2 linked regions of the Pelodiscus sinensis genome follow. The protein of the gene in region 2 purifies or fractionates together with the protein of the main gene of each other region. This does not show direct contact. Links are inferred from orthologs where the notes say so. Each region holds a gene or a part of one and is shown on either strand. Other genes may lie near its edges. The genes, in order: COPS4 and DCAF1.

The links.
Region 1: the proteins of DCAF1 (region 2) and COPS4 purify together in Homo sapiens (affinity purification with mass spectrometry; 4 studies listed by BioGRID, with this or other methods). This does not show direct contact. The link is inferred for Pelodiscus sinensis from reciprocal best matches to the Homo sapiens genes DCAF1 and COPS4.

The regions. Positions count from the first base shown.
Region 1 is NC_134715.1:11,683,387-11,695,552, reverse strand, and holds the start of COPS4 (COP9 signalosome complex subunit 4), read right to left. Parts: upstream 5,941-12,166; 5' UTR 5,803-5,940; intron 3,915-5,802; 5' UTR 3,375-3,914; coding exon 3,301-3,374; intron 2,338-3,300; coding exon 2,258-2,337; intron 1-2,257. UniProt on the Homo sapiens protein: Component of the COP9 signalosome complex (CSN), a complex involved in various cellular and developmental processes.
Region 2 is NC_134721.1:43,462,437-43,473,865, forward strand, and holds the start of DCAF1 (DDB1- and CUL4-associated factor 1), read right to left. Parts: upstream 5,218-11,429; 5' UTR 3,048-5,217; intron 1,218-3,047; exon of another isoform or gene 1,139-1,217; intron 291-1,138; exon of another isoform or gene 142-290; intron 1-141. UniProt on the Homo sapiens protein: Acts both as a substrate recognition component of E3 ubiquitin-protein ligase complexes and as an atypical serine/threonine-protein kinase, playing key roles in various processes such as cell cycle, telomerase regulation and histone modification.

The sequences.
Region 1 (12,166 bases), on a different chromosome or scaffold from region 2:
TCCTAAACCTTCCCTTTAAATGCCCAAAAGCACATTCAACCGCCATTCTGCACTTGCTAGGCCTGTAGTTGAGCTGCTCCTTACTGGGGTCCAGGCTGCCCATGTACGGCTTCATGAGCCATGGGAGCAAGCGGTAGGTTGGGTCGCCAAGGATCTCTAGTGGCATTTGCATGTCTCCAATTCTAATTTTCCAGCCTGGGAGAAAAAGTTCCAGCGCGCCTCTTTCTGAAGAGGCACGAGTTCCTAAAGATGCATGCATCATGCACTAGACCCAACTATCTCACACTGATGTTGGTGAAATGGCCTTTGTGATTCACCAGCGCCTGCAGCACCATCGAAAAGTACTCCTTGTGATTTATGTACTGCTTGTCAAGGTGATCAGGGCCAAGATGGGGATGTATATTCCGTCTATCACCCCACTGCAGTTAGGGAACCCCATCACAGCAAAGCCATCCACTATGGTATCCATATTTCCCAGAGTCACTACCCTCCCTAGCAGAATGGTATTGATTGCCTTGGCTATTTGTATAACAACACTGCAGATTTCCCCACTCCAAATTGATTCCCAACTATCCGGTAGCTGTGTGGCTTTGCAAGCTTCTACAGGGCAATTGCCACACACTTCTCCACTGTTACAGTAGTCTCGTTTGGGTGTCCCTGCATTTCAAGGAAGGGGAAAGCCATTTGCAAAGTTCCATGAATGTGGCCTTGTGCATTCAAAAGTTTTGCAGCCACTGCTGATTGTGCCATACCAGAAGCACTATGCAGGCCCACCAGTCTGTGCTTGTCTCACAGCACCAGAACTGGTGTTCCACTGTTTCTAGAGGATCAAATGCTGGCTGCACTTCCAAGTTGCTGAATGCAAGGGCTTGCATGTATAGTGTGCCCATTGGACCCCAAGATGGAGGAAATTCCTCCTCATCCTCCTTGTGGAGTGACATGCTTGTTTTCTTGACATGTTACAGCTCTGCAACACGAGACAGGACCGAGCCCCCTGGCTCTCAAAATCCTTTCAATGCAGAACTGTAGCAGGGGTAGCTGCCAGGACCCGGCACGATCTGGGACTAAGCAGTGTGCCTGCTGGCCAGCTCTCAAAATCCTTTAAATGCAGAGCTGTTTATTGTGTAAATGACATTTTTATTGGCTACACAATTACCAAATTACATGCTTCCTAATATCCCTAGTAGATATGGGCTAAAACAAAACAAGTTTGTTTATCTATACAGGAGATAAAGCTGCCCGTGTTTTATTTACAATGTCATCTGAAAGTGAAAACAGGCATTCGGATGGCACTTTTGTACTCAGCATTGCAAGGTTGATGGAAATTCTATTGACTACTCAATTAGCTGGTAATCAAAATTTAACATCGCTATATAGGACTCAACCCAAGGTTTAAAGAATCTGAAGCACCTTCTAAAATCTGACAGGTATGAGGTAAGGAGCATTCTTTCAGAAGTCTTAAAAGAGTAACACTGATATGGAAACTACAGAACCTGAACCACCAAAAAAGAAAATCCATCCTTTTGCTGGTGGTGAAAATGATGATGAAAATGAACATATGTCGGTCTGCTCTGGTTTGGAATGTTATCGAGCAGAACTCATCATCAACATGAACACATGTCCTCTGGAATGGTGGTTGAAGCATGAAGGGACAGAAGAAACTTTGCAGTGTAATTCAACAGTGCATGTGAACAATTGTTCTCATTTTTCAGGTAACACTGTCTGAGCAACTGGCTGAACAGCAGGACTGAATGGACTTGTAAAACACTAAAGCCTACATTGTTTTATTTCTGAATGCAGTTTTTTATATCTAATTCTACTTTTGTAAATTCAACTTTTATGATAAAGAGAATGCTCTATACTACTTATATTAGGTGAATTGAAAAATATTATTTCTTTTAATTTTAGGGTGCAATATTTGTAATAAAATATAAAGAGAGTACTGTTCACTTTGTATTCTATATTATAATTGAAATAAATATATTTGTAGATGTAGAAAATATCTAAAATATTTAAATAAATGATAGACTATTATTGTTTAGCAACAAAATTATTGGCAATTAATTTGTTTAATTGCTTGGTTACTCTAATTTTAACATACTGATGATTGGTGCTCCAAGCAGATGCAGATGCAAGATTGAATATGGACAGCACATCAAAAATTCACATAGCCTGAACTATATTTATCTGCATGTGTAATCCAACATGCATCAAGTCTTCAGTCAACAATGCATAAACACAACAAATACATACTTACTTGCTTCTACAAAAGCTTTCAAGGCTTCTAGTTGTTCCACTCCTGACAGTTGAATTGCTTTTTCCAGTATCTGACGATATCTGCCCATAGATTTAAAATTAAAAAATGTATCACAATTAATATCCTTTTATTTAAATATCCCCCGTGGCATTTGCATTTACATGGCTGCAGCTTTTTTCCGGCTCTGGGTTTTTGCCGGAGAAAAGCGCCAGTGTAGACGCTTGAAAGTAGGAATAAGGGATCTTCCGGAAAAGGGCTTATTTTCCGGAGAATCGCGTCTACAGTGGCGCTTTTCTCCGGCAAAAACCCCGAGCCGGAAAAAAGCGGCAGCCATGTAAATGCAAATGCCGCGGGGGATATTTAAATCCCCCGGGGATATTTAAATCCCCCGTGGATTTGCAATTCCCAAGTGTCTCATTAGCATCCCTTTTCTGGAAAGGGGTGCCAATGTAGACACAGCCTATATGTTTGGTGGTGTTTTTTAGGGCTTTTCCCAAGAGACCCTGCTGCATAATACCAACGGCGCAGAAAATACGTGATTTTTTAAAAGGAATTTAAAGCTCGGACGCCTCTCTCCGTACAATTGCTCTGGCTCTAGAAAAAGACACAATGGGCATCAGATGGGTTCTTTTGTCTTTCAAGCCCAAGGCTCTGGGAACACCGACTGTTCTGAAACGGACAGTTCAGCACCAGCCTGCAGCATCTACAGCCCCTTGGTTAAATTAAATGGAGAGGGGGGGGGGGTCTGGTTAATCCCCCCGCCCCGAGGCAGCGGGGGAGGGGGGGGGCGGGGTAGGTAGGTGCAGTCGACAGCATTGACCAATAATAAGCGCAGGTTTTTCCGTTAATCCGTTTTATCCGTTAATCGTCTGCCATTCACGAAGTGACAAGACAGACCCGGGCGCCTCCGCCCTGCCAGGCACAGGGGCCGCGGCTCGCGGAGGAAGCAGGACCCTGCAACCCCCGACTAGTCCTCAAGCACCCGCCAACCGCCTTCACCTCAGCCGGGAGCGCCCCCTCCCCCCAGCCCGGCCCGCACTCACTTCCCCGCCAGGTCCTTGTGGGAGCCGCTGGAATTCATGAGCTGGGCCAGCTCCTGCCTCACCGCGGCCGCCATCTTGTCTCGCGCAAACTGACAGACGCGGTCCTCCCCCTGCCAACGAGAGGGAAGCCGCCGCCGCCGCGTCCCCGCTGTATCATAGAGGAGCGTCGGCTAGAAAGGCTCCTGCCCCTGAGAAAAGGGTCACGTGACGCCTTCCCAGCCCGGAGTCCTTCCCTCCTCGCGAGCGCTGCTGGCCAGTTGCTGCCTCCCTGGGATGCGGAAGGGCTGATCCGCCAGCGGGTTGACGTACTGACCCGGCCCCACACGAAAGCAGACTCTGTACCTGGGAGGGGACCCTCAGTCCCTTCCTCCCTCTAAGGCCAGGAGAGGCGCTCTGAGCTATTTCTCCGGAAGGTGTCATTCCCAGTATTGCCCGCCTGGCTGGTGCAGATGGCAGGTCTGGAAATGCAGGATCTCATGCCCCAGTGAGAGGGATGGATGATAAGTTCTTTCCTTCCCATGCGGTCTCTCGGGTCAGAGAAGGAAGCAGGGCCAGAGCCTGATGAGTGGAATATTTTGTAGCTCTGTTTCTTTCCGAACTGTGTTGCTTGTCGGCTGTGTTTCAGTGGTGTACACAGCATGGCTGTCGTACATACGTTATCAGAAGATTTCAGACATTACAGTATTTATTTTCCTTTTCTAATCTGTGTATAGCGTTTTATCTAAAAGTAGATGAATAATTATACTGTTCCTATTTTACCAGTGTATAACTGAGGTCCGGATATGTAAACTAAAATTTTCAAATATAGCACCTACATACAAGAGTGCTGCTTTTCATAAGTGGAGAGGTGGACTCAGCTCATATTTCAAAAGGAGTGTTCTATTTACTTAAATGTCAGGCAGCTATCTTCAGGATTGTGCTTCAGCTGGAACCATGGAAAGAGACTGAGATCAATTTTTTTTTTTATTTTTTTGTACACTGACATTTGAGTTGCAAACACTGCAGATAAATGTTTTAATGGAGAGAAAACCAATAATTAAGAGGTGAGGAAAATTCCCTTGGTTTGTTCATACCCTACAAATAAGTGGAGGATACCTATGGTACAGAAGCTAAACAGAATGAATACATTTCCCTTGCAAGAGGGTGTATGCTCAAGGTAAAAGCAATGCCATATGTTGCACTTCCATATCACCTTTCATGAAAGGTTTGCCCAGTGCTTAGGAAGCTGTCACTTGTTAGCCCATTTTATAGATGTAACAAGACTGGAACCACTCACTGCCTGTTTTTCAGTGTCTTGACTTAAGGGCTACGTCTAGACTGGCATGATTTTCCAGAAATGCTTTTAACGGAAAAGTTTTCCGTTAAAAGCATTTTCGGAACAGAGCGTCTAGATTGCCACGGACACTTTTCTGCAAAAGCACTTTTTGCGGAAAAGCATCCGTGCCAATCCAGACGCGCTTTTCCGCAAAAAAGCCCCGATCGCCATTTTCGCGATCGGGGCTTTTTTGCCGAAAACAAATCTGAGCCGTCTACACCAGCCCTTTTGCACAAAAGATTTGCGCAAAAGGACTTTTGCCCGAAAGGGAGCAGCATAGTATTTCGACAAAAACACTGACAATCTTACATGAGATCAGTGGTTTTGCGGAAATTCAAGTGGCCAGTGTAGACAGCTGGCAAGTTTTTCCAGAAAAGCGGCTGATTTTCCGGAAAAACTGGCCAGTCTAGACACAGCCAAGCAGCTTCAGAGGGATAGCTGAGTTAGTCTGTAACAGGAAAAAATTTAAAAACAATAAATAGTCTAGTAGCATCTTAAAGACTAACAAAACATGTAGATGGTATCATGAGCTTCCTGTGACAAAACCCACTTCTTCAGATATATTCCAGTCATATGAAGAAGTGGGTTTTGCCCATGAAAGCTCATATCACCCTCTATTGGTGCGTCTAGACTGGCAAGATTTTGCATAAAAGCATCCACTTTTGCACAAAAACTTGCCAGCTGTCTACACGCTGCTTGAATTTGCGCAAGAGCACTGACTTTGTAATGTACAAAATCAGTGCTTCTCGCGCAAATACTTTCATGCTCCTGCTCAGGAAAAAGCCCTGCGCAAGAATACTTGCTCAAGAGGGCCAGTGCAGACAGGGAATAATTGTTTTACGCAAAAAAGCCCCAGTAGCTAAAATGGCGATCGGGGCTTTCTTGTGCAAAATCACGTCTAGACTGGCCACAGATGCTTTTGCGCAATAACACTTTTTGCGCAAAAGCATCCGTGCCAATCTAGATGCGCTTTTGCTGAAATACTTTTAACAGAAAAACTTTTCCTTTAAAAGTATTTCTGCAAAATCATGCCAGTCTAGATGCAACCTACATGTTTTGTTAGTCTTTAAGGTGCTTCTAGTTTTAAGTTTTGACTTAAACAGTTTCTATCTATGGGGCAGTATAGCAGAGTGCACGCATCCAGTGCCCAGAAGGGTGCTACAAGTAGAGGAGGCTGGAATGCTTACCCAATGCATCACTATCGCCAGGCCTCTCTCAGCTGTTCCCCAACCATTTCAGATCAGTGGGAGACGCAGGCTGCACACGCAGCACCATACACACGCACACCCGGGCTCCTCCTTAAGGCTCCACCTACCCCTGCTTCTCCTCTCACCTTGCGCACTTGCCAGCCCTTGCGTGCCTGTGCAGCGGCACGTGACATGGTCACGAGCCAACGGGATGCGATGACGCACCCGGAAACGGCTGGAAGGAAGCGCCGGCCCCAAAGGGCGGGAGAGGGAGGAGCTGCGCTCGCTTGGTGACGCTATGTCGGTTGCCAAGGCGGCGCTGCGCATTATTATGGGATGTGGCGGTGGAATGGCGCTGGGCGCGTGATTTTGAACAAACACGGAACCTGTCCCTGGTGCTGCCGCTGCTGAGAGCGGCGCGCGAGCCCAGGGGGAGGAGGAGGGGGCAGCCGCGGCGCGAGCCCGGGGGAGGGGGGAGCGCGAGCCCGGTGAGTGTGAGCGCGGGGGGCCCAGCGGGGTGGGGGGAAGGGAGGGAGCAGGAAGGGGTGTCAGGGGGGAGCCCAGCGCGTCGCCGTGCAGCCCCCCCCCATCCCTGGGGGCCACCCGCTCCCTGGCTGCGGGGACAGGCCGGGGAGGGGGACCCCGGCTGCAGCGCCAGGAGTCGGTCCCCGCTGCCGCCGCCTGGGCGCAGCTCCCGGGGCGGGCGGCGCAGGCCCGGCCAGCCCACGGCGCAGCCCTGCGCGGCCGCTCCTGGCGCTGCGCCCCTCGGGCACCGGGGATCCGGCCGGTGCAGCCCCGGCCTGAGCTGTCTGCGCGGCTGCCTTGGCAATGCAGGCGCCGGGGCCGTGCCCCGCCAGCGGGTGGGCCTTTGTGGCTTGTGCCCCGGTGTGTGGGTGTATTGACTGTTTGTCCCTTTGTCACTGCCAGTCCATAGTAGCCAGGGAAACAGCCGACCCTGCGCGTGAAAAATAAAATCATTGGTTATGTGTGACTGTTCTGACGAATGGGTTGGCATTTTAAAGTCATTTGTGTAATATATTGAATAGTAAGGAGGAGCTTTCTTTATGTGGCTTTAACCCTAGAAAATGTTAAGGAATTCAAGATCTCAAGAGCTGAGACTCACTGCGACATGCTCTTTTTCAGCAAAGATCAAAAGGAGAGAAAAGCAGGGCTTACAGTTTGGGCCCTCATTCTAGCAATCTCTTGGGGGAAAAAAATCAAAATAAACGTGCCTAGTATTTTCGCTTCCCCTGCCTGCCTCATTATATAAATAAGGATGTTTAGATATAGGGCAGTATATAGAGTGTGATGAATCATTACAAAAGTTCATCTTGATGTGCATCTCTGCAGTACAAAATGGCATGCCACATGTCGAAATTGTCAGCTTTATTATGGTAGTGTTTTGCAAAATTGAGAATAGTAGAACTAATATCAATGCTATATTGGAAGATGAATCTAGTGTTTTTTTGTTTTTTTTAAAGATACAGCTACAATTAGGTCAAATTTATAACTGAAAATCACATAGGTAAATGCAGTGGGCTCATGTGTGACTTGTATACCTGATGAATCCTCCCACATATCTAAAGAAGAGAGGAGGTTCTCTGACTCTGTTGAAGTTCTGAGGATATTTCTTTTCCTTTGTAAGCTGCCTCTTTGTTTGGTGTTTGGGGGGAGAAGGGTGTCCCATTTTTGAGGTATGACAGCTTCTAAGTCAGGGATGGGGAACCTCAGATCCACAGCTTGCCCGAATCCAACCCCAAGGCTCAGACCCCCCCTTGCATGAGGGATCTTGTGCTGGCGCTCTAGCTCCAGCTCCCTGCCCCATGGTGGGGCAGCACACAAAATATATTAGGCTGGGCCCCCCAGGCGTGGAGAATGTGTGGAGTGTCTTTCTCTTAGTCTGAGGGTTTTTTGTGTGTGGCCCTCAACTGATTTTTTCTGTGGGTCAGTGGCCCTCAACCCAAAAAAGGTTCCCTACCCCTGTCCTAAGTATTGAGAGCATTTTTGTTTTGTGTGAGTTGTAACTTTTTTTAAGGAGTTCAGGGCCAAATGTTTGACTTTTGGCCGTCTCCCCTCCATGTCCCCAAAAAGAAAATACAGGCCAACTGAAATCAGATGCAACAGTACCAGTGTCACCTCATTTGCACTGTCTCATTGGGATGTAAAAGTTTTAACTGGTTAAACTTAGCCTTACCAGCATGCTTACCTGGTAACCAGTTAAACCATGGTGGGTCCAGCTGGCTGGAGCAGCCCTGTGGTACAGTAGGCCAGCAGGCAAGAAGCCAGGCTAGAGATGCCAGCAGCTCTGCACAATTCCCCCACCCCCTCCATGACTGACAATTTAACCAATTAAAATTACATAATGTAGCACTGGTTAACTTTTTAATTGGGTATTTACATCCCTAATGTCTAAGTGATCACCATTTGTTGGTTGGGAAGGAATTTTCCTCTGAGTCAGATTTCCAGTGACCTTACGGTTTTTTACTTTGTGCTTGCAATATGAGGTGCAGGCCATTTCTCCCAATTATCAGAGTATATCTCATTTAATCAGTTCCCTGCCATTGCAGTTGCCTTAAACATTGGTGCCACACCTCAAGTCCCTATTATTCTGAGACCTTTTACAAAGTTAAGTCAAAATACAGCAACCTTGATATTTACTGTGGTGAATCATGTCTATGGTTCTGTTGGTGGTCAGCTGAAACCCCCATCCCTAGGACTGAGCGCCACCAGGCAATGTAAATAATGCAGTGTCTACACAGGACTGTTGCCCTGAATGCATCAATGCAAGCTCTATGCCTCCTGGAGTAATGGGTGACATGCATCGTCAGGAGCAACGTTGGAGTGTAGACACTTACAAAGTGAGATCTATGTAAGCTGCTTTATGCTGACTAACTCTGTAGTTCAGACCAACCTTCTAGTTTCCTATAGGCTGTAATATTTTGGTCTAATTTAGTTTGCTTGGTTTTGTGTGTGGGTGTCCTGTGATATACAGGAGGTCAGACAAAGTGATCTGGTAGTTCCCTCTGGGCTTAAACTCTAACTTTGAAGGATCTTGTATGTTGATGACTAATTGTTTGAAGAATCTTTATGTGAGATCCTAGAATTCTTGGCTGGAGAGTAATTTATTTTTTTGTTTTTATTTTCATACTTTTGTGCTTTAACTAACAAATATTTTAATACAGCAAATATTTATGTTTTTCTTAAGATTGCTGTTTTCTGATACATTTTACAAAATGGCCATGTGACTGTTTTAGAAGTGTTGAATGGAAAAAACGTAGTGCAGTAGCCTAGTGTCAGAATGGTCAGTGTCTTGTTACTTCGATACAATCATCTAGAATTTCACTTTTGGGTTGGTATCTTATTTTAATCTAAGTTTTCAAATGGGGAAAAAAAACTCTGGAACAAACATGACTTGCGGTAAAATAGGTCCCCTTTCCCTAAGTATCACAATCTTTGCTTAAGCTCTGCTATTTTTCGGGCATCTTTGTAGTCTAACTATTTCATAACTTACGAGTTGATATGTTGGCGAAGGTGATACCAGGTTAGTTCTCTAATTCACCAATGCTAGAAAATGTTAAGGTTCAAGTTTGCTTACCCAGGGAACGTAGCTGTCTCACAGTTGGCACTTCTAACTGGTTGGGTTCTTGCTTTTGTACTAGTTACAGATGTAGCATCCATTCAGTTTTTATTTCTAAAACTCCTACCTTTCCCCACTTGGTGCCTGTCACTCATGAACTACTCTCCCTGGAAGGAGGTTCAGGATATGTCTGGAGGGGTACACAGATGGACGTGTATGGGGGATAGAGGAGCAGATGGGGGGGCTGGAGGGGCAGGTAGACAGGGGAGTGTGTGTGGGGGGTGGTGAGGAAGATGGGAGTGTGTGGGGTGGGGTGGGGGACAGACGGGAGTGTGTAGGGGAGTTGGTGAGGAAGTTGAGGGATGCATAGGGCGGAGTGGAGGGCAGACAGGGTGGGAGGCAGACAGGGAGGTGTGAGGCGGAGAGGAGGGGCAGACAGGCAGTGGGGAGCAGACAGAGGGCAGCGTGTGGGGTGGGGTGAAGGGGCAGATGGGGGAGTGTGGGGAGGGAGGGGATGAGGGTGGGGCCTAGAGGAAGGGAAGACTGGAGCATGTGGGGCGGAGAGGAGGGGCAGAGGAGAGTGTGTGGGGATGGGAAGGAGGAGCAGATGGTGGGGGGAGGCAGACAGGGGAGTGTGGGGCGGGGAGGGGGTAGACAGAGGGGAGTGTGTGGGGGGTGGAGAGGAAGGGCAGATGGCGGAATATGGGGGGTGGGGAGGACGGGCAGACGGGGGGCAGTGTGGGAGACGGAGCAGAGAGGGGAGTGTGTGGGAGACGGAGCAGTGGGGGGGCAGACAGGGGAGACAGAGCAGTGGAGGGGCAGATGGGTTGCAGTGTGGGAGACAGAGCAGAGAGGGGAGTGTGTGGGAGACAGGGAGCAGTGGGGGGGGCAGAGAGGGGAGTGTGTGGGAGACGGGGAGACAGGGAGCAGTGGGGGGACAGTGGGGGAGACAGGGAGCAGTGGGGGGGCAGAGAGGGGAGTGTGTGGGAGACAGGGAGCAGTGGGGGGGCAGAGAGGGGAGTGTGTGGGAGACAGGGAGCAGTGGGGGGGCAGAGAGGGGAGAGTGGGGGAGACAGGGGGCAGTGGGGGGACAGAGGGGGAAGTGTGGGAGACAGGGAGCAGTGGGGGGGCAGTGTGGGAGACGGAGCAGTGGGGGGGCAGAGAGGGGAGAGTGGGGGAGACAGGGGGCAGTGGGGGGACAGAGGGGGAAGTGTGGGAGACAGGGAGCAGTGGGGGGGCAGAGAGGGGAGTGTGTGGGAGACAGGGGGCAGTGGGGGGACAGAGGGGGAAGTGTGGGAGACAGGGAGCAGTGGGGGGGCAGAGAGGGGAGTGTGTGGGAGACAGGGAGCGGGGGGGGGGAGGGAGTGCCCGAGGCGGGCGAACCAGCCCCGCCAGGCGCAGGGGGCCGGGCCGGGCGGTGGCGGCGCAGCGGCCCGGCGGGGGCGGGGCCCGGCGGCGGGGGCGGGGGCTGCGCTGGGTGCCGGGCTGGGCTGCGATGGTGATGACGAGGTGAAAATGGCGGATCTTTCGAAATCCAACCCCGGCCCCTGACATACCAGCGTCGGCAGCCAAGCCGCCCCGGCGGCGCCCCCCGCCCCCGCCCGCCGCTGCCAGAGGCCGCCCGGCCCCTCTGGCTCTGGGACCGGCCTCCCCGCCCGGCATCCTGGCGCCGACCCCGCCGCGGCTTCGCCTGAGCGGTGAGACCCTCGCGCTGGGCCGGGGTAGCGGCGGGGCCCCCTGCGCGGGCCGAGCCGCGGGGAGAGCCCTGGGAGCGGCTGCTGGGGCCTTGCCAGGACTTCGCTCGGCTTGCGCTGGGCAGTGACGTGCGAGGGGCCCCGCACATTGCTCCGTGTGTCATCTGCACAACAGGCGGCTTTGTGCAGGGAGAAGTGAGGGGCAAAGAGAGGGCTCAGCCTGCCAGCTTTTAGATATATCTGTAAGGGATAAAGGGCGCGGCCTCTCTTATAGGACTTGGCACATTATGGCTTTAAGAAAGGGGGGGAAACTTGCTTTCTCATGCAGGTGATGAGATTGATATTCCTCAGGCATAGGCTGTGATAAAGACTCCAACCTTTTTATGAACTGTGGCTACTCGTTTGCCATGGTCATCAAATATGTATACAGGGCAGTTTGTCTTTAAAGTTCTAGCCAAGCACTAGTTTGCAATGTGCATCCTCGTTACCTTTGGACAGGTGTAGTGAAATACAGGCCAATGAAATAGTAGTATTGCACCACACTATGTGTATCATCAGTATTTCTCCTTTAAAAAAAAATTGTTGACGCATCACCGTTCTGAAATAATATCCCTGTGCATAGTTTGAGTAGATGTTAATGTTACAAAGTAACCTTCAAGGTTATAAACCTGGAGTGACTAAAAACCAGTTTGTGTTAGCTCAATAGAAATTGCCAATAAACATAAAAATATTGAATCCATTTTGTACAGAAAGCATAGAGACAACATGAATGATATATTTTTTTAAATCTCTAATATTATGGGACCAATACAGGTGGCACATATGTGCCATGTTACCTGTATTGGTCCCATAATATTAGAGATTTCATGGCATTTTTTCTGTAAAGGCATTTTTCGCCAAGATCTGGTCATGTTGTCATGATTCCTAACTCTGTAAATATGTTGTAGCATAAATTCGTTTTGCTTGTGTAGGTGATACTTAGCTGTGTTACAGTCATCCTTCCAAGGTATGTCAGAGATTCTGAGAAGTGCTGAACACCTATAGTACCCAGTGCTCACACTTGGATAATTCAGCTAGGCCCTTAGACCTGTTT
Region 2 (11,429 bases):
CGACGGGGGGGGGGGGGGCGTCCCGCTGCTGAGGCGACACGCGAGACCCCGCCTGCCTGTGGCGCCCCCCGGCGGGGAGCAGGGGAGCCCCGGCGGCGCCGCGCGCGGGGGAAGCCGAACCCCGCCCGCTGCCCGCGGTACCTGCCCGACGTCCCGCTGGGTCCCCGCCGCTGCTCCCGGCCCCCGCGCTCGGCCCCGCACGCAGCGCGGCGGCGGCGATTGCTATGGCGGGCACACACTTTCCGCGTCATCGCGCTGCGGCGCCGTCACGGCGCGCGAAGGGGAGAAGCTCGCGCTCGGCCTCTAGGGAAACGGAGTTCGGGGGCGAACGGCTCCAGCGCGCATGCGCTCCTGCTCCACCGCCGGGGAGGGGGGTTAAGAGACGCGGGGCAGGCTGGGAGATGTAGTTCTCTCCGTGGCTGCGGGCTCTATTCATTGCGTGCAGAGCAGGGGCGCAGGAGCCGCTGCCCCACGCCACTTGCAAACCGATATGGCACCGGCCTCCTCCTCCTGTGCCCAGCCCCGGCCTCTACGCTGCCCCCTCCAAACTGGACCTGGCCTGAATGGGATCCCAGCTCTGTCCCCAGTAGTCTCAACCCGCCCCCCCAGGCAGGAGTTCGCACTTAAAAAGCTACATGTAGATACCCCCCCCCCCACACACACACACACACACACATACAGGCCAAGCAGGAAGGGGTGAGACAGGAATTCAAGCCAGGGCAAGAGACAACACAGATACCATGCAACCAGAGATCCCTACACCCCACAAACCATGCAACAGCCTCCCAGCTGCCAACCTCCCCCTGCCCCCACCTCACCACCACTCTCTTCCCCTCCCTTCCCTTTTCCACCCCCAGAAGACACAAGGGACCTATGAACAGCCCAAAGCCCAGAATGAGTACTACAACCAGTACAGCAGCTTGGGGAAGGGAGGACTGGTTTGTTTTGTCAACTAGAAGTTCCAGTACTGAAAATGGAGACCTGCATGCCAAGACACACACCCCTATTACAGACAAGACGAGAGCAGCTGCGAACTGACCCATTTTACATAAGTCGGGTGTAGCCTCCAGCCCCTGGAAAGTTACCAAGAAAGGCTTAGGTTGGGCATTCCCTGCAGAAGAACAGCCAGCTTCTTTACCTGCTAAATGCCAACACAGACTTTTTAGGGTACAGGCCAGTTTTTCGTGCAAATTTCTCAATAGCTGTGTGAGAACCACCTGCATGAAAATAAAACATAAATAAGAATTGCTTTTCTTTCCAAATTTTACCTACCCAGCCTGCGGTTACCAACAATGGGACTGCAGGATAACAGCCTGACTGCATGCTTGTGGATGTAGCCAGGTGTCAAGCATAATATATAAGTTTTAATTATTGGGACTACTATAACCATATTACTTTTCAATGGCACCTGCTCCATCACTGATCACATAGGAGTTACTCCGGGGATAAGTTGGCTCCAATCAGCCAGGTGAGTGTGCAAGGACACATCTGCTCTGAGTTGTTACAACTATATCAGTGGTCCCCAACCTTTTGGGGCTTCCGGGTGCCCATGGGCGGGGCCCGTACATGCGCCGCGCACCTGGGACGGGAGCCGCGCATACGCCTGGAGCGCAAGAATGGCTTGGGCCGGCCCTGGTCACTAGGCGGGTGCACATAAATGCCATGGCACCCACGGACACCGCGTTGGGGACCACTGCTATATTGTAGTAGGGTGGTACAGAAGCACTGACAAACAGATCAGCAGGTACATTCCTTCCAAGATGGTTGGTACTCCTTTCATAGATGGCACTACAGCAAGTCATCTCATGTTCCTAATCTCTCAAAAGTTAAGTAGTTAAAACTGTGCACTCAGATTGTAATATATGAAGAGCCACATAGCAGAGTACACTCCAAAACACTATTCACCATAAAGCTTGGGATGGAATATCTGAGACAGTCTTTACTTGTACCAAAGTCCAGTCTAGGAATTTGGGGTAGGGATGACGGGTCCAGTACTTTACCACGCCATGGGTGAATATATCATGCAGATAAAACAACCTCTCATTGTCACCATTACACTTTAGTCTCGTCTGTTCCTTAACTCGTGGCATTTGTTTATTTTTGAGCTTCCTTTTATTCAACCCAATAATTTCTTTCCCTTCTTGTTTTGCTCCACGACCATGAAGTGCAATATTGATGAATACTGGTCAATCTCTCTTCCCAGCTCCAGCTTCTTTCTAGCATTCAAAGCAGTTTGCTTAGGCCACAGGGCAGCTTTTCACCAGGCACAGAGCAAAAAGGGAGACTGACCTGCTCCAGTTCTGGCTCTGTCCTTGCACAAATTACTTGGACAAGTTTATTTAATCTCAGGGAGGGAACATGAGCTAGGGCTTAGAGTAGGGGACAGAGTCGGGCTGCTGTAACAACTTAGTGTGCAGGATTTGCCAGCATCTTTTCATCACATGTCCATTCATGGCATGGAGTAGGCATGTATATATCCTCTTAGGAAGTGCATATATCTAAGAGCAAATGGTAAGTGGATTCATGCGATTTTGCTTCTAGACCCGGACAATTGGGGGGGGGGCTTTACTATGCAATTCCTCAGTTAAACCCACATTCATCTTCTAATTATTTTTCACTGCTGCACCCATCAAAGCCAGTACTGGTGTGTGGCCATTGTCACACCACTTAGTTCTGGATCCATGTCAGACCAACTTGGTCTGTGTCAACTGGATCAAACAGGGCATAACAAAATTGAGCTATCAAGTCTAGATCCAGTTTCTTTCGCTCTGGGAAGAGGTATTCTTCCACCTCGGTTGTCTCTTCTCCTTGGAGGAGACTGCTAATTCAAGGTACTATGTTTACAAGGTAGATTAAGTTCTCCTGGGCCCTGGATGTTCCCTTCATCATCCTGTATAATAGGCTGTTCTTAGCACAAAATGTAGAAAGCAAAATCAGACTGTTTCTGTAACAGCTATGTGCAACTCAAAGGGGGCAGAAGGAATCCTCTTCCCTCTGTTCTAGAATACTATTGGATAAACCCACCAACCTTCCCAGACTGAGTTTACCTCTGCACTTCACTTTCACGGATGTGAAGCATGGACATTCATTCTTCCTCTGCGGGTTTGTTAAGGATATAAGAACGGCCATACGGGGTCCATCTAGGATCCGGTCTTCTGACAGTGCCAGATGCTTCAGAGAGAATGAGCAGAACAGAGCAATGCTCAAGTGACTCGTTCCCTGTAGTCCAGTCCCATCTTAGTTCCCACTGTTCTTCTGTTTAGTCACACAACTCCCCGTTTTCTCTACGCAAGTGCACCTCCCTTCCGACCACCTTCTCTAGTTTTGTAGGGCCAAACCTCTGCTGGGAAGGACTCTTCATCTTGTAAGGGGACGTGATGTCAGGAAGGTTTTATGAGAGCAGTCTTCCATTTCCTCTGGATCCTCGGCCACCTCCAGCAGTAGTCCTTGAGGATGAACAAGATATGTCATTTTCCTATCCTGGGCTATAGGTGCCATATTGACAGACTTTCAAAAAGGGATGGTTTTTCCACCTTCCCTCAAGTGTCCCATAGGTGGGATTCAATTCTTGAGGGGGTTAGGGCCAATGGGATTAAGTCCTTTTCATGACAGTCTAGCTGCAGGCAGAATCCAACAGTGCTTAGATTCTTTAGCTTGCACGAGAATCCAGTTGGGAGAAAGAAAAGGAGAGATTCCCATCCCGACCTGTCCTGTGATCCATCTCGCAAAGTGATGCTTCCATTCCACTGGCGGGCATCTTCTGTAGCAGGGGGCACCTCTCTTTCCAGCAGTGGAAATGCAAATTCTCCAGTGCTTCATCCTCTCAGAGTTGCCAACAGGGTAAGATTGCTTCCAACCCTGCTTAGGTTTCCTCACTGCATAGCAAGGGACTAAGCTGAAAGCTACTGGAACATTTTAAGTCCTTTGGAGACAGAGTGGAGGGGTTTTCTCTCTCTCTGTAACTTGTCCCTTCAGTTTTACCTCAGGCTAGAGCAGGCCCAGATTATAGCTAAACTGAGCTACCACTGCTCCACTGCCAGCTCTGCTTCAGAGAAATGTTATGGTTCAGTCTCAGCCTGATGCGAGCACACCCATTCTTCCGCTCCAAGAGGCAACAGGTGCATTGATTGCTCCAAAACTATCGGTCCCACTGGAGGGGCAGACTGAATCGAGCGTTAACTATTTCTCGCCAGACCATAACGATGACTTTGGGCCTTCTCCCAGTCGGGTCGCTCTCCTCCTGGAACTGAAGTCTCTGAGATTGCTAAATCATAGCATTTCAACCCGCAGAAGAACGTGGATCTGTATGTGTCGTAAATATGCACATCCAGGGTTGCAACCACCTTGCTCTTCCCTTATTGCAATAGAGAAGGCAAATGTTGGAATAGAAGAGTCAACCGGAGACATGTCCCCCAAAACAGAAGAGGCTGAATGGAAGGAGAACGACAGCTCTCACTTGCTGCGAGTCCAGTTTCACATGCCCCTAGCTTGAGGTTCAGACAGGGCTGATGCAGAGCAGAAACCTTCAGACTGGAGGTCCTACAAGTACCTATGGCCACTCGTTCACAAACCTCTAGGAAGGCTTCTGGGTCATCGACTGGTCACATCTTAATTAACAAAAGGCCTGGTGCCATGGAGACCACCCGGCTTGATGCATTTGGGTTGAATAAGACGACCGGATTCATCAACAGGACTAGCTATCGCCAGCAGCTGCGGCTCCTGCTGGTTCTGTTGAACCAGCAACTTCTGCTGCAAAATGGCAGCTTGTATCCATTCCTGTGGGTCACATCAATCCTTGTCTTTCTCGGGCACCAGTTTGTTTCCTGGCCAGGGAGTGTATACTGGGTCTTACATTTCACCTTTAGGGCAACACTTTACAGGGATTCACAACCAGGCAGCTCCACTTCTTGGACCAGCAGCGAGAGCTCTGATAGCACAGTTGTTCATTCCAGCAATACTAGTCCTTTAAGAGTCTGAATTAGCCCCTCCTAAGTGAAGCCAGGTCCAGTTGTTACAAAAGTTTCCTTTGCTATTGCTTCAGGCCAAGCTCACATAGTAACACAGCTCCACAGCCAGCTTACTTTACCCAGCTTCTGATAGGAACGCTTCTCTCTTGATAGCTAGTGGATAGTTCTAAACAGCCCTGGTTGGCTTGTCTCGGCTCAGCCTCCTTCCTCCAAACTCTCAGGGAGACTATTTTTCTTCCAGCCAGCCAGCTCCCTTCTGAGGATATAAGCACTGTCATCAACTTCAGCTGAAGCACTTCCTGTTTCCCAATGTCTGCATTAACCCTTTCCTTCCTCCTTGGGTGCACAGGCCCCTACCATAGATCTACTGGGGCTAGGCATGAATGCTCCCAGCAAAAATACAGACTCAAGGCTGAACTCTTCAGTTGCTGCAGGACAGAGAATGCAAGAACTGGTGAAATGCCATGAAATTGCTGTTCATAGGTGGTAAGAGGCTGGTGCGGAACTATTTGAATTAATTCTTTTGCTAGATCAGTTCAAAACACACCTTGTCTGTCCTGACTATGCACAGTCAGATGTGAGAGCAGAAAAAAGTCAATGCAAGTAAGAGGCAGAGATAAAAGAGCCAGTGGGATGGATGCATAAGATCCATGTCTGGCATGGATACACTTCCCCAAGCACGCCGCAGCACACTTCATTAGGACCAGCAGTTCCAGCATTGAAAAGTTCCAAAGACTCATGGAAAAGGAGGAGCAGCTAAATCAAGGGTCTCAGACTCACGGCCCAGGAGGCATCTGTGGCCCAAGCAGTTCCACAATCCAGCCCTTGCATGGCTGCTGGCACGCTGAGTCCCTGTGGCCTTGGAGGAGGGAGGGGTATCTGTACCCTTCCCCCAAATCCAGCCTTTGCTCTGCTCCCATCCTGCCTCTTCCCAGCCCTGCTCCACCTCCCCCCCCCCCCACTGCACCCCATCCTTGAGGGGCCTGGCACAGGGCAGTAGTAGGTGTCAGGCCTCCCCACACTCGCTGTGGTGGTGGGAGCCACAGGGAAGCAGAGCAACTCAGCAGCCTCTGCTCCACCCTCATCTCCCAGGCCAGCCCAATCGCTCTGCTACTCCCTGCTCCAGTGTGGGCTGCTTGGGAGATGACAGTGGAGTGGAGCAGGCTGCTGTGTAGCTCCGCTTCCCTGAGACTGCCGGTGACGCGGTGAGTGTGGGGGGGTGACTCTGTTTCCTGCCCCAGCCTGCCCAAGGATGCGCAGGCTAAGCTGAAAAGGGAGGACCCTCCTGTCCATAGAATGGTTGGGGCAACTGGCACGGGACCCCCCAAAGCACACAGGTTAGCTCTGCACACGTGTCCCCCAGGCCGCAGGGACATGCCGGCAGTGGCACAGAGCTGGCAGCCGGAAGCCGTTCCAGCCCCGCTGAGATAGGGGAGCTCTGTCAGAGCGGGGTTCCCGCTGGCCCACAAGGAGGATTTGGGGATGGGCACTGACCCTAAGGTAAATTGCATTGTGACCCCGATCTAAAGGGACCCCACAAGGATGCTGACTCTGGCTCTGTTTCCAAAGAACATCCAGAATATTATTGGCAATGCTCGTGTTCTGACAAATACCTTTCTCGCAACTCACAAACATTAACAGCGGCAAACACAGGTTCCGCCTTCGGGCCTGAGCAAGCCATCCAAAAGGGCCTGTTTTAAGAACAAGAACGGATCATGTCTTCAGAAAGCCACCCAGCTGCAGAGAGACTTTATGCAGGTGTGTGATAATCCCTTGTGAAGGTGGAAACCTCACCCTAAACTCCACCCTCCACATCTCCATTTGTGCTCTGTGACGAGGTGTATAAATCCCCACGTTGATTAAGCAGGGGTTAACAGGAACCTGAGCCCACTTAGACCAGCTGCAGATGCCTGCAGAGGGTGGCAGGCTAACTGGAGATCAGTCCCAGCTGGGGAAAAGCTGGGCCTGCATAAAGGAAGAAGCACAAGGCCCTGGAAGAGAAATCTGGGAAGAAAACCAGCTGAGGGGTGGTGGAAAGTTGAATAGTGCCTGGGAGATCTAGAGACTCTGCTGTGAAATAGAAATAGGGGAGAGCTTCTGAGAATCCCAGCATGATATCTGGGGGAAGGAAGATACAGGATTTGCACAGGAAATCTAGGAAGCTGAGGGTGTCAGGGAAGGCCACTGGCAATATGGAAACAATCCTTGTAATGGGCAGTTAAAAGGTGAAGCTTCCAGAAGATGGTGATTTTCACTGCAGGGGACCCAAATGAGGGTTAAAAATGGAGCTGTGGATGAGGGAGTCTGAAAACGGCAGGAGAGAAAGGGTTCTTGTGGGGGGGGGGGAGCCTGCCCACTTGGTAAAGGGGTGGGAGTTTGTTTGAATGGTCAAATGTGAAGCCCCTCCGGGAAGGCCTGTCTATCTTCACGCCTGAGCAGAGAGGGTGACGGGACTAGGCATTGTCATGTGGGTTTGGGTGTGATGTACCAGAGAAAAGGCAGGAATAAACATGACTGGGCCAGGGCTTACAAGGAGACCTGAACTGCGGTAGGTCTGGACTGGAGTGACTGTCAGCAGGTGGCACTGGGAAGGACAGCCTGCTATGGCATGCCTGGCTAGGAGAAAGTGCTTTCGAGGTGAGTCTGCCCTTCCATAGGGCTTTATTAACTGACTGCAGGAGCATGTAGACAGTGTTGTGTTGTGTTGTGGGGGGGTGTTTTTGTTAATTATCGATTTGTGTTAAGGGAGGCTGTAGCGATAGTTACTGAATCGGTGGATACTGACCCCTGCAGTGTAACCCCACGTCCAGTGAGAGGAACCAGCGAGAAGTTCAGTCTCCTATTAGCACTTGGACCTGTCCCCCCACTCTACCACAGAGTAGAGCACTCATGTCTTTAACTGCTGATGCTTTATGGAAGGATACAAGAGCAGGAGCTGAGCTATAGAGACTAAACTCTGATCCTATCTTGCAACCTAAAGGATCTACAGTAATTTAGCAGTTTTTGGTGCTATAGACGGACTGAACAAATCTGCCTCTTTGTTAGGAAATAGGAGGCATTGCTCTTGGGAAAGCCAGAGGCTTTTCTTTGAATGACCTAGCAGCAGTCACTCTGCCTCTACCCCAGTCCAGCCAATGGTGCAGCCCTGAGACCCTTTCCCCGTTCTTATGCATGCCGGATACTCCTGGTTGCCGTGTTGCGTGTACACTGCAATGGAAACACTCAGCCCCACTCTGGCGCTGTCTAGCTCGACCTGCCACCCGCTTCTGGAGCAGCCACAGTGGAGAACCACCTAAGTATTGTTGGAAACTGGCAATAGCAGAGCAGTCACTATCTGTCAGGGATACTCCTCCGCCAGTCCCTCCCATCCCAAAGGGGGTTTACAGGGAGTGTCGGCCCTCCCTCTATACCAATTTCCCATGCACAGTACTTAGTTTTCAGGCACTGAGTTTCGGACATTGCTTAATGGACCAGATTCAGGCCACCAGAAGCCTGTGAAGCCAGCCAGTTTGTCCTCAGTGTATTTAACCTGCCTTTGTATGCTTTCGATTGGACCGAGGTGTCTGGAAAGGGCCCTGGGTTTGGGCAGCAGTGGGTAGGGATACCCTGCACCTGCCTAAATACAGCTGTACACATTGTAGGCGACACAGAGCCTGCTCCAAATTCCTTACATGCTGGAGTGACTAGCAATCCTGGGACAATTCCTGCACACCAGCTGACTATCTGAATGACGGGTGTGACCAGTCCAATCACAAGCAGGTTCACCAGGATCATGCCATTTTAGTGTGAGGAGCAAGAAGGAAACTAACTGAACCTTCTCAGTAAGAAACATGCCAACCAGTCCTTTGGTACGTTAACAGGGACAGCTGTACAAAACAAACAGCAGTAGAAGACGGGGGGGAGGAGGGGACAGACACCAGGCAGAGGCGACAGACCTAGGAACGGGAGCAGTTCAAGGCCCCAGATTCTCCTGCCTGCTGTCCTTCCCTCCTCCCTGCCCTCCAATGGGCTGGAGCCACATAGCAGTGAGCGCCAAGGGGACACCACATCCCTGTGCTGCCTCTGTCAGTGGGTTCTGCCCCGCAGCTCCCATTGCCAATGGGAGCTGTGTGCGGGGGCGGAGCTTGCAGGGGAGTGCAAGATAGGGTGCAACAAGGGATTCTGGGTACAGGGCCTGAGGATGTGAAATCAGGTGGCTCAGCACAGCCAGCCCTATCTCCCCCTAGACCCCATAACCAACCCTGAACCCTAGCCCTGAGCACATTCCAGCACCCTAACTCCTGCCCAGACTGTGCAACCTCACCCCAACCTCCCGTCTGGAGCCCTCTTCTGCAGTCCAAATCCCTTGGCTTCAGCCTGGAGCCTCCTTCTGCACCCCCAGAGCCCACACACTCAGTCAGCACTCTCACCCCCTCCCACACACACCTCTTCTGGGTCCTGTCCCAGAGTGTAGGGCTTGCAGACAAGTTCATCTGACCCTGCTGGGCCCTAATTCTGGATCTGGACCCTGGACATGAGCTGAGCTTCTAGTTCCATTCCAACTCAAATGGGGTTGACTCTGAGCACACCAGCTTTATTTTAAAAAAAAAAGGGGGGAGGCAGTAGTATGTGGCTTTTAAGGTGGTGCAGCCTTCTTAGAGTTCTCAAGAAATTAAATATCTGAGAAGACACCATCCGTGTTTTTTTGGGGGGGGTATTTTGGATCTGCGCTCGTACCTAATTTCTGCACCCTGTGGGTCTTCCTTAACCGGGTCGATTGCCTGGATGTGTCAGTTTTGACGTTTGTGAAAACAATGCACAGATTAATGAAACTAGGGCATAGTACTTACAGGTGCCGGAGTGCACATACACTTTTGAATTCTAAATAGCTCCAAGGACACTTCACCTTTGGGGGAAGGTTAAATGGTAACCTGTACTGTACCTGATGACGAGACTGAAAGAGAAACAGGAATTAAGGCTGGAGAGGCCTTAGTAATTCAGACTTTTCACATGTAGGTCCTTAAAGGATTTGCAAATAATATTTAATTGGCATTAGCTTTAGATCTCAAAGCAAATTCCAATCCGATATCTTACGCTGCCCCCAGCTGAGGCAGTAGGGATAAGAGAGCTCCAGTGAAGTTAAGTTAGTTGCCGCTAGGATGAAACTTTGCAGTGGTTTAGCAGCATGCAGCAATTGTGTAAGAACTACGTGTTTGAGTTTGTCCAAGAACAACTCCTAAACGGGAAGAACTAGGGTCACCAAACTTGGTATGCAGCTTCCTCTTGCCTTGCTTTAAGCTCTAATGAGGATTGGGTTGTGCCAGGAAAATGGGATAGGCCTGGAATGGGATTTCTGTTCGGTCTGAGGAGCAGAGAGAATCACCAGGCAGGGGAAAGGTGCTGGCTGAGGAGTGCCCCCCTCTGCCCTCCCTGCATCTGAGACTGCTCCGGACCTGAGGTTCTCACCTCACAGGCTGAAGCTCTCTCTCCTACCTCCCTCCCCCCCCCCCCCCATTCATGTGGGGACATTTCTGGCTGTTCCCTTTTGTCAGGAAGCAAGGGGGAGTGCACCGTTTTCTGCATTCCTCACTTCTGGCTGGGTGATTGCAGGGGGCAGACAAGCTAAGCACTTTGCTCTTCCCCTTCCTGTCCAGGAGCAAGAGCAATCGGCTCTGGTATGCATCTTGGAGTGGGGGAGAAGGGCTTCAGCCCCTCCTCCCACCACACACACACTCACACCCAGCCACCTGCCTGGAGCCCCTCCTTAAGGACCCAAGCAATGCCAGGTAAATGAGCTAGAAAAGAAGAAGCTGCAGATGGGTGTTATGAAGGCAACTGCAATCACCTATACTGGAACTTGCCCAGGACAACTCTCCAATTATCCCTTCCACCGTGAAATATGCCAGGGGATCTTAACCTCCACCACTAGCATCTCCTACTGTTCTGCTAGAATGCCCTCCTTCAGCACTGATTTACAAGGAAGACTGCCCCAAATATCATCTCCTGCAGCACATGGGGTCTTCACAGAGGTCTCCCATCCAAGTGCTAGTCCCCCTAATCCAGTTTCTCCTGAAATATAGGACTTGAGCCCAAGGTGATCAGTTTCAGGCTGAAATATACCTGGTCACTGCAGACTTCATAATGGATCAGCTGGTCTTATGAGGTCACAAGCGCTGTACCAGATGAGTTCTATTAGTGCCTCAGGATACCATGTGTACCAGGACACACACATTTGCTCTAAGTCTCTTTGCGGCCTCTTCTGTTTATTATATTGTGTGGGTGATAGGTTATTTCTTCCTGATGTTTCATAGGATTATCAAGTAGGCAAGCAAATTTTATTCCCTAGAACATTTCATAAGCTTCTTTGCTCAATAAAAAGTGGCTGTAGGAGGACCTGAAATTCCAGAAGCCTGATCTGATGCAAAGCAAACAAGTGCAATTGCTATTTGGTTATGGCCATACACACAGCCATGTCCTGTACTA